Mus musculus: one gene and its partner. The protein of the gene in region 1 binds, or shares a complex with, the protein of each later gene. Links are inferred from orthologs where the notes say so. Each region holds a gene or a part of one and is shown in the gene's direction. Other genes may lie near its edges.

Region 1 (4,445 bases):
GTGAAATGAATCTATTATACCTGACGACGTTGCATTCTTCTGGGCTAGAGTTTACATTTTTGGAGGATGAGGACAGACTGTACACAAGTAAAATAAATTATACATCACATAGCATATCCAATGATAACAAATGTTGTGTTAAACACACAAGCAGACAAACAAACAGACAACCTGAGCAGGCACGGGGAGGGCTGGGAAGCTGGAGTGGGAAGAAAGTGAGTGTGAACTTAGACAGGAACAAGAGTTCGGAGGGAAGGTGGCATTTAAACTACAACCGGAAGGAGATGAGAGAGCAATAGCAGAGCCACATCAGGTACAACCTCTGTGTACAAAGAACATCCGTGTCAGATCTCCTGATGTTTATGTGTGTCTGTTGTCTTAGAAACAGCAAAGTTGAATGGTGTGTGTGTGTGTGTGTGTGTGGCAAAAGTTTAGCTGTGAGAGTACAAGGTGCAGATGAACTTGGAGAGACATGGGAACAATTAGACACGCTCCAGTTGTGCATTTTATTATACCATTGCCTAATGCACTAAGTTGGTTATTCTACAGGATAATTTCTGAAAGGTATCTTGTGAATTTTCACTTCTTTTCAACTCAACAACAATGTGGTCGTCTTGGTCGTAATTGGCTCTGCTTACACTAAAGGGCCTTGCAAAGACAGGCATATGCTGAATGAATGAATGAATGAATGAATGAATGAATAAACGAGCAAGCAAATGAGGTAAGTTTCCCCTCTAGGGAATCCTCAAGCTGCCCTATCTTTATCGTCCTCCACACCCTTTCTCAGCTTGGCCTCTCTATTCACCCTGTCTGTTATAGCAACGTAATCTTCCTATGTCTTGTGCACCTCCTAACTGATATATTCTCTCCTGACTTCCAGTGAACCCAATTTCTACCTATAGTTGAAGGCCCAGGGCTGGGCCTGATGGCACATCTCTGTACTCTGAGCACTGGGGAGGCTCAGGCAGGAGGACTGGGTCTGAGGCAGGAGGACTGGGTCTGAGGCTAGTCCATGTTGTATGGTGATTTTTAGGACATCCTCTCTTACACAGCTGACAAGCTCTCCTTGTTACAGGGTGTCTTCATCAGCCTCACTGTTTTTTTCTAGGTGCCTAAAGCACCCTTCCTGTGAACTGAATAACCCCTTGGTACATTTAAAGTCCACTCTCCGAACACGTTCTGTGTTTGCAGAAGAATCTGTACATGAACACCAGCACTCTGGGAGGTTCTTGCAGCTTCGTAGACGCTGACTGGGTAAGAAAAGTTCAGTGACTTGACTCATTTCAGGCACAAATGAACAAAAAGTGGACCAGGGTCCAAGACATATCTCATACAAGACAAGGCCATTCTTAGACCCACAGATCTGTCAAGTTTAGCATTCCCTTTCTGTCATTTTTAGCATTCCCTTTCCGCACTTAATTCATTTCACTCTGCCAATCACCAGCGGCCGCGTCCAGGAAAGTATGACCCGCGCGAGTCGCCGTAGTGCCCCTCCCTCCACCACTCTGTTCCCGGCCAACATGGCGGCCCCCGAGTCAGCGCCGGCTTTGAGTCCCGGCTCTGCGGACGAGGAGGAGACGATTCTCTATGACTTGCTGGTCAATACCGAATGGCCACCTGAGACAGAAGTGCAGGTGAGCCGGGCTCTCTTTTTAAGGCTGTAGGCATGGCGCGGGCGCGGGCGCGGGGCGTGTAAAGCCACGTCGCGGTGCCACGCAGTGCAAGTGGAGCGGGGATAGCAGCTGTGTTGTCTCCTGGCAACGGCGGGGCTGCCGGGTCCAGGGCTCGCTGAAGGGTGTCTGTAGTCAGCCTTGGCTCCGAATTCGGCTGTGTATCCCCACTCAGGCTGTCACCCTCTCGGCAGGTCAGTGTCACTCTTCTTCCCTAGGTCCTTGTCATATCCGGACTTGCCTTGTAATCTTGTTACCTGTGGCGGGAGAATTTCGCAGGACTCTATCGTCCTTTAAAAGTCTCAGTAATACGCATTTACTAGTGTGTGTGTGTGTCTGTCTGTCTCTGTCTCTCTCTGTCTCTGTCTCTCTCTGTCTCTGTCTCTCTCAGTGTGTGTGTGTGATACACACACACACACACACACACACACACACACACACTCGGACCCCAGATATGGTGCAGGCTGCTGGGCATTCAGAGACAGTGTTTTCATGGAACTTGCAGTGTGGAGGAGAGATAGCCAATCCAGTGAACGTTTCTCATTACCAAGCCCGAAGTGCTGGCTGAGTAGAATGCCAAGGGAGTGGAGAGAAAGAAGCAGCGGTTCTCCAATTCTGCTGGAGACAAAGTTGTGGTGTTTGCCAACTTATGGACCCTGGAGTTACTAGTTTCCTAGGGAAAGCCTTCGGGTCATAGGGTGAAAGCAGGAGCCCAAGGCCCATTTACTTGACATACATGGTATCAAGTGCCTGGCATGCCCGTGTGTTAGGCCCTGGGGAAGCAGCATGGCTAGGAAGACTCTTAAATCTGGCCCAGTGAGCTCCTTTACCTTGTCTTCTGAGTATTTATTCTGCTTGTCTTCAATTAGGTCTTGTAATGGCAAAAAGCTGCATATATTGTTATTCGTTTCGGTTTCTAGTGAGTGACGTGGACATTTTGTAGATGATGAAATTGAGAGGCTGCTGCCGCCTTTAAGTTGGATAAAGATATCTAGCATTTCAGAAATGTCTGTAATACTGTCTCAATGCTTAGCACTATACGTTGATTAAAAAAACAACACGGAGTCAACTTATATTGAAATCTCGTTGTCCTCTGCCTTTTCTTATCTGCCTTCTTTATTGATTTCTACATCTGTTTCCTACAGCTGTTGCCCTATAAGCTCTGCCTGGGATCAACTTTATATCCCTCCACTGTGCCAAATTGTTCCCTGATGATTCCTTCATGTTTGTTAAGCGAGCGTCCTAGGGAGTAACGTATCTGTTCTTACTGATTACTTATTCATTTTATTCTTGGTAGAACTTGAAAGCACTCTACTCACTGTATTTGTTATTCTTTATTCTACAGACAGTGCCATTCAGTTTACGTTTGTGGACTCAAATTAATTACTGTAGTAGTTACATATCTGTGTTTTGTTAATAACATTGTCTCCATGGATACACAATAGGTAATCACTTTTCCTCTTAGTGAAATCTGTTTTAGGTCTCTGTGCCTGCCCTATAGACTGCATTGACTGGGCAATTAGTATTGTCTTTGTTCAAACCCAGGCCCCTGAACGTCATAGGCAAGTTCTCTACCACACAGCTCAGCTCTGCCCCTGTGGTTCCTTCTCTTTTCATTGGTGTTTTGATGTGGAAACTGTTTCTAACCTCACCTTGGGGTTCTTCCTGACAGGGATCTATGAACATAATTCTCACTCTTATTGCTACTACACACAGTTCATATTGCAACCTGTAAGAAGTTTTAAAATACTGATGCTGGTATTCAGTGCTCTGGATATAAGTAGAGAAGCATAAATTTAAATGTTTCAAGTATTATAAAATTCTCAACTGTAAGTTTTTATCTATTTATTTATTTTATTTTAGCTCAGAGGCAACCGAAAGCACGGTGCATCATTCATCATCACAAAAGCAATCAGAGGTAAAGAGGCCTTGCATTTTATGTATTATATAGTTCATAGACAGGTTTTTCTCCTTTCACAACTATGCACTTTACCTATGAACCAGGAGGAGTCTGAAAAAGAGTTGAGCATCAGCCTTATTGAACCATGAGGGCTTTATAATATTAATTAACAGATTGATATAGTTCTTCTAGGCTGACAAGTTAAGTGTTGTTTTATATTTATTTATTACATATTATATGTATGCATGTGTGTGTGTGCCTAAGTACATACATGCGTGTGTACCAGATGTGTGCCGGAACCCATGGAGATTTGAAGAGATGTAGAATCCCATGGAGCTGAAGTTATAGGTGTTTGTGAGCCATCATGAGTGTGCTGGGAGGGAACCAAACCTAGGTCCTGTGCAAGGGCAGCCAGTGCTCCTCGGCACTGAGGCAGCTCTCCAGCCCTCTGCTGTAATGGTTGGCTGTGGGGACTTGGCCACAGTGTTCTTTGGGAATGTAACTACCTGCCTTCGGGCCTTGAAGGCCGTCCTCAATTTACATCTGAGTTCCTTATGAAGAGAAAATTCAATTTAAAGAAATAGAAAATTTGTGGCTAGCTGTGATTTTATATAAGTTCTAATGTATTCAATTTTCATAATCATAAATGAAGTCTTGGTTTATTTAGAAAATATATATATAACTGATCAAAATAATTGTAGAAAAAACTGAAAGTATAAATACCGACATATTTTAATAGAATTTTCTTTATTTTGCAACTTAGAGATGACGTTCTTCAGACTTTTCTTCCGTGGTGTGCCTAGCTGCGTGCATGGAAGTGTGTGTGTGTGTGTGTGTGTGTGTGTGTGTGTGTGTGTAAGAGAGTGCATGAGAGA
Region 2 (3,649 bases), on another chromosome or scaffold:
AGCACTCTGGAAGTCCTGAGATGTTATACATGTGTAATTTCTTAAGAGTTTGATCATAAAGGCAGTAAAGCCGGGCTTTAGGGAAAACCAGCTGTCATGGAGAGTACCAGGTTCATTCATGTATTGTTCACTCTCTCCGCAGACAGGTATAAAAATCTCCCCACAGCCTCCCGGAAACTGCAGTTCCTGGAGCTACAGAAGGACCTGGTAGATGATTTCAGGATCCGGTTAACGCAGGTGATGAAGGAGGAGACGAGAGCGGCCCTGGGCTTTCGGTACTGTGCGATTCTCAATGCCGTGAACTATATCTCAGCAGTGCTGGCAGACTGGGCTGACAATGTTGTGAGTTAATGTGCTTTTATAGGAAATAATTTATTAGTACCTTTATCTCCTTTAGCCTTTCAAATGTTGACTTTGCTGCAAGCCAAAAAATTACATGTTAGACTGTGTCTCTGTGACTGGCTGTGACTGTGTGGCTGTGGCTCTAACTGTGACTGGCTGTGACTTTGACTGTGTAACTGTGACTGTGTGACTGTGGATATGGATGTGGATGTGACTGTGTGGCTGTTGCTATGACTGTGTGACTGTGGCTGTGACTATAGCTGTGACTGTGACTGTGTCTCTGGATGTGACTGTCACTATGGCTGTGACTATGATTGTGTGGCTATGATGGTGGCTGTGACTGTGTGGCTGTGACTGACTGGCTGTGACTGTGGCTATGTCTGTGACTGTGCGGCTGTGACTGTGGCTATGACTGTGTGGCTGTGACTGTGTGACTGTGACTGGTTATGGCTGTGACTGTGTGACTGTGGCTATGATTGTGACTGATAGTGTCTGTATCTGGTTGTGTCTCTGGCTGTGACTGTGGCTGTGACTTTGTGGCTCTGGCTGTGACTTTGGCTGTGTCTCTGGCTGTGACTGTGTGACTGTGACTGTGTCTGTGTGGCTGTAACTGTGTCTGTGTCTCTGACTGTGTCTGTGTCTCTGGCTGTAACTGTGACTGTGTGATTGTGGCTGTGATGGTGGCTGAGACTGTGTGACTGTGGCTGTGGCTGTGTGGCTGTGGCTGTGTGGCTGTGGCTAAGACTGTGACTGTGTGGCTGTGACTGTGTCTGTGTCTATGTGGCTGTGACTGTAGCTGTTTCTCTGACTGTGTCTGTGTCTCTGGCTATAACTGTGACTGTGTGATTGTGGCTGTGATGGTGGCTGAAACTGTGACTGTGTGACTGTGGCTGTGTGACTGTGGCTGTGACTGTGTGGCTGTGACTGTGTCTGTGTCCATGTGGCTGTGACTGTGGCTGTGTTTCTGTCTGTGTCTCTGGCTGTAACTGTGACTGTAGCTGTGTCTCTGGCTGTGACTGTAGCTGAGACTGTGGCTGTGTGGCTGTGGCTGTGTGACTGTGGCTGTGACTGTGTGACTATGGCTGTGTGGCTGTGACTGTGTGACTGTGTGGCTGTCTGTGTGACTATGGCTGTGTGGCTGTGACACTGTGACTGTGTGACTGGCTGTGACTGTGTGGCTGTGGCTGTGACTATGTGGCTGTGACTGTGTGACTGGCTGTGACTGTGTGACTGTGGCTGTGTGGCTGTAGCTGTGACTGTGGCTGTGACTGTGACTATGTGACTGTGGCTGTGACTGTGTGACTATGGCTGTGGCTGTGACTGTGTGACTGTGACTGTGGCTGTGGCTGTGACTGTGTGGCTATGACTGTGTGACTGTGGCTGTGGCTGTGACTGTGACTGTGTGGCTGTAACTATGTGACTGGCTGTGATTGTGACTGTGTGGCTGTGACTGTGTGACTGTGCCTGTGTGACTGTGGCTGTGACTGTGGCTGTGACTGTGACTGTACTAACTGAGTTCTGGCCTTGATGGTGCTGATTTGTCTTCACAGCAAGTCCTCCAGCCACCCTTACAGTGCTTCATCAAAGGTCTGTTCCCACACAAGTCCAGATGCAGAGAAGAGAACGGCAGCTTACCTTCCTTTGTTTCTGATTGGCTGTTGATAACCATTTGTTGTTGGGCCATGCCACTCCCAAATTGTCCAACCTCTCAGAATTTTCTTTTCAGTTGTCTGTGACAGAACTCCAGTTTTACTGTCGGTGATAAGTGCAGGCAGGGTGTGTGTAATGAATAGACTGGGCATGCCCACTCCACAGGTCATCTCTGGTTGCATTCTCAGGCACTTCCTGGACATGTGGCCATCGGTAACTCTGGGCTGACTACTACAAAAATGACATTTTAGTTCTCTGACTGTCAGAACTCCAGGTTTCTGACAGCCTTCAGTCTGTGTTTAGAAAAACTGAATACTTAAAGGAACATGCTCACTAGCAGAAAAATACAGTATCAAAAATAAAAAATACTGCAGTGAGAAAAAGAAACTGGCAGGGGAGGCACACCCCTGGCTTCTGAGCAGTGGTGGCACAGGCAAAAGGGGTGCCACACCTTCAAGACCAGCTCTATCTGCAGAGCCCCAGGCCAGCCGAGACTACATAGTACCACAGAAAAGAGTGCACACCAAGCACTTGGGAGGCTGATGTAGGCTGGCCATGAGTACAAAGCTACACTGAACTACTCATTTGTCAGCCTCAACTACACAGCAAGATTCAGTCTCCAACCAAAACAAAACCCTCACACATCAAAACCCAACCCAGACTGAAGCAACAAACCTGCTCTGTGCAGGCAGAGCTTCAGACCTCTGGCTATGGCTGGTGGTGACTTAACTGCTGCAGCTTCTGGGCGAGGCAGCCTGGCAGCTCTTAAGACGGTGGGTGGAGTTACAAGTCCAACAGTTCCATTCCTCAGGACAGACAAAGACAAAGGAACACACTTTTTACAGAAAAATGCACATATTAGTCTAAGCAACATTATGCACAATAGATACAAAATGGAAACAGTCCAAACGTGTATCAGCTAGCGAATGTATAAAATGTATGGTCCTGTGATGTACTGGGGGGCAATAAAAGCATGAAGTACATACTTAGAACATGCTATGGCACTAAGAGAGGAGCTGGTCATGAAGAATAGAACTTCATATGGTTCCATTTTCTTGAGACGTCCATGATCATTGAATCCATAAACAGTAGATTAGTGACTGCCTGGAGTTGGAGGAGTGGGCACAAAATGGAGATAGACATGAATGAGGATTTTGTAGGGAGGAAGTAATGGCAGTGCTCTAGAGAAATGGTGGATGCACAGCTCTGAGTTACTACAGCCACTTAGTTGTAAAAATGATTTATACTGTGCATGCGTATGTGTGTGTCACGGCACACATGTTGAGATCAGAGGACAACTTGCAGAGCTTGGCTCTGTCTTTCCACCATGTGGGGTTCAGGACTAAAGCTTCAGGGCGTCAGGCTTAGTGACAGCGCTTCTGTGCACTGAGCCATCACACTGGCCCTTAGTGACAGTGCTTCTGTGCACTGAGCCATCACACTGGCCTTTAGTGACAGTGCTTCTGTGCACTGAGCCGTCACAGTGGCCCTTACAGTGCTTCTGTGCACTGAGCCGTCACACTGGCCCTTAGTGACAGCGCTTCTGTGCACTGAGCCATCACACTGGCCCTTAGTGACAGTGCTTCTGTGCACTGAGCCATCACAGTGGTCCTGAGCTGCATGTTTGATTTTGAGGGAGATGAAAGCTTTTATGTTT

What was found.
Region 2: Nbas (region 1) and Rint1 share a complex: the UniProt entries of both Homo sapiens proteins name them as parts of the NRZ complex. The link is inferred for Mus musculus from reciprocal best matches to the Homo sapiens genes NBAS and RINT1.

What each region holds. Positions count from the first base shown.
Region 1 is NC_000078.6:13,267,631-13,272,075, forward strand, and holds the start of Nbas (neuroblastoma-amplified sequence), read left to right. Parts: upstream 1-1,496; 5' UTR 1,497-1,520; coding exon 1,521-1,634; intron 1,635-1,690; exon of another isoform or gene 1,691-1,864; intron 1,865-3,533; coding exon 3,534-3,588; intron 3,589-4,445. UniProt on the Homo sapiens protein: Involved in Golgi-to-endoplasmic reticulum (ER) retrograde transport; the function is proposed to depend on its association in the NRZ complex which is believed to play a role in SNARE assembly at the ER. Required for normal embryonic development.
Region 2 is NC_000071.6:23,811,568-23,815,216, forward strand, and holds part of Rint1 (RAD50-interacting protein 1), read left to right. Parts: intron 1-142; coding exon 143-342; intron 343-3,649. UniProt on the Homo sapiens protein: Involved in regulation of membrane traffic between the Golgi and the endoplasmic reticulum (ER); the function is proposed to depend on its association in the NRZ complex which is believed to play a role in SNARE assembly at the ER.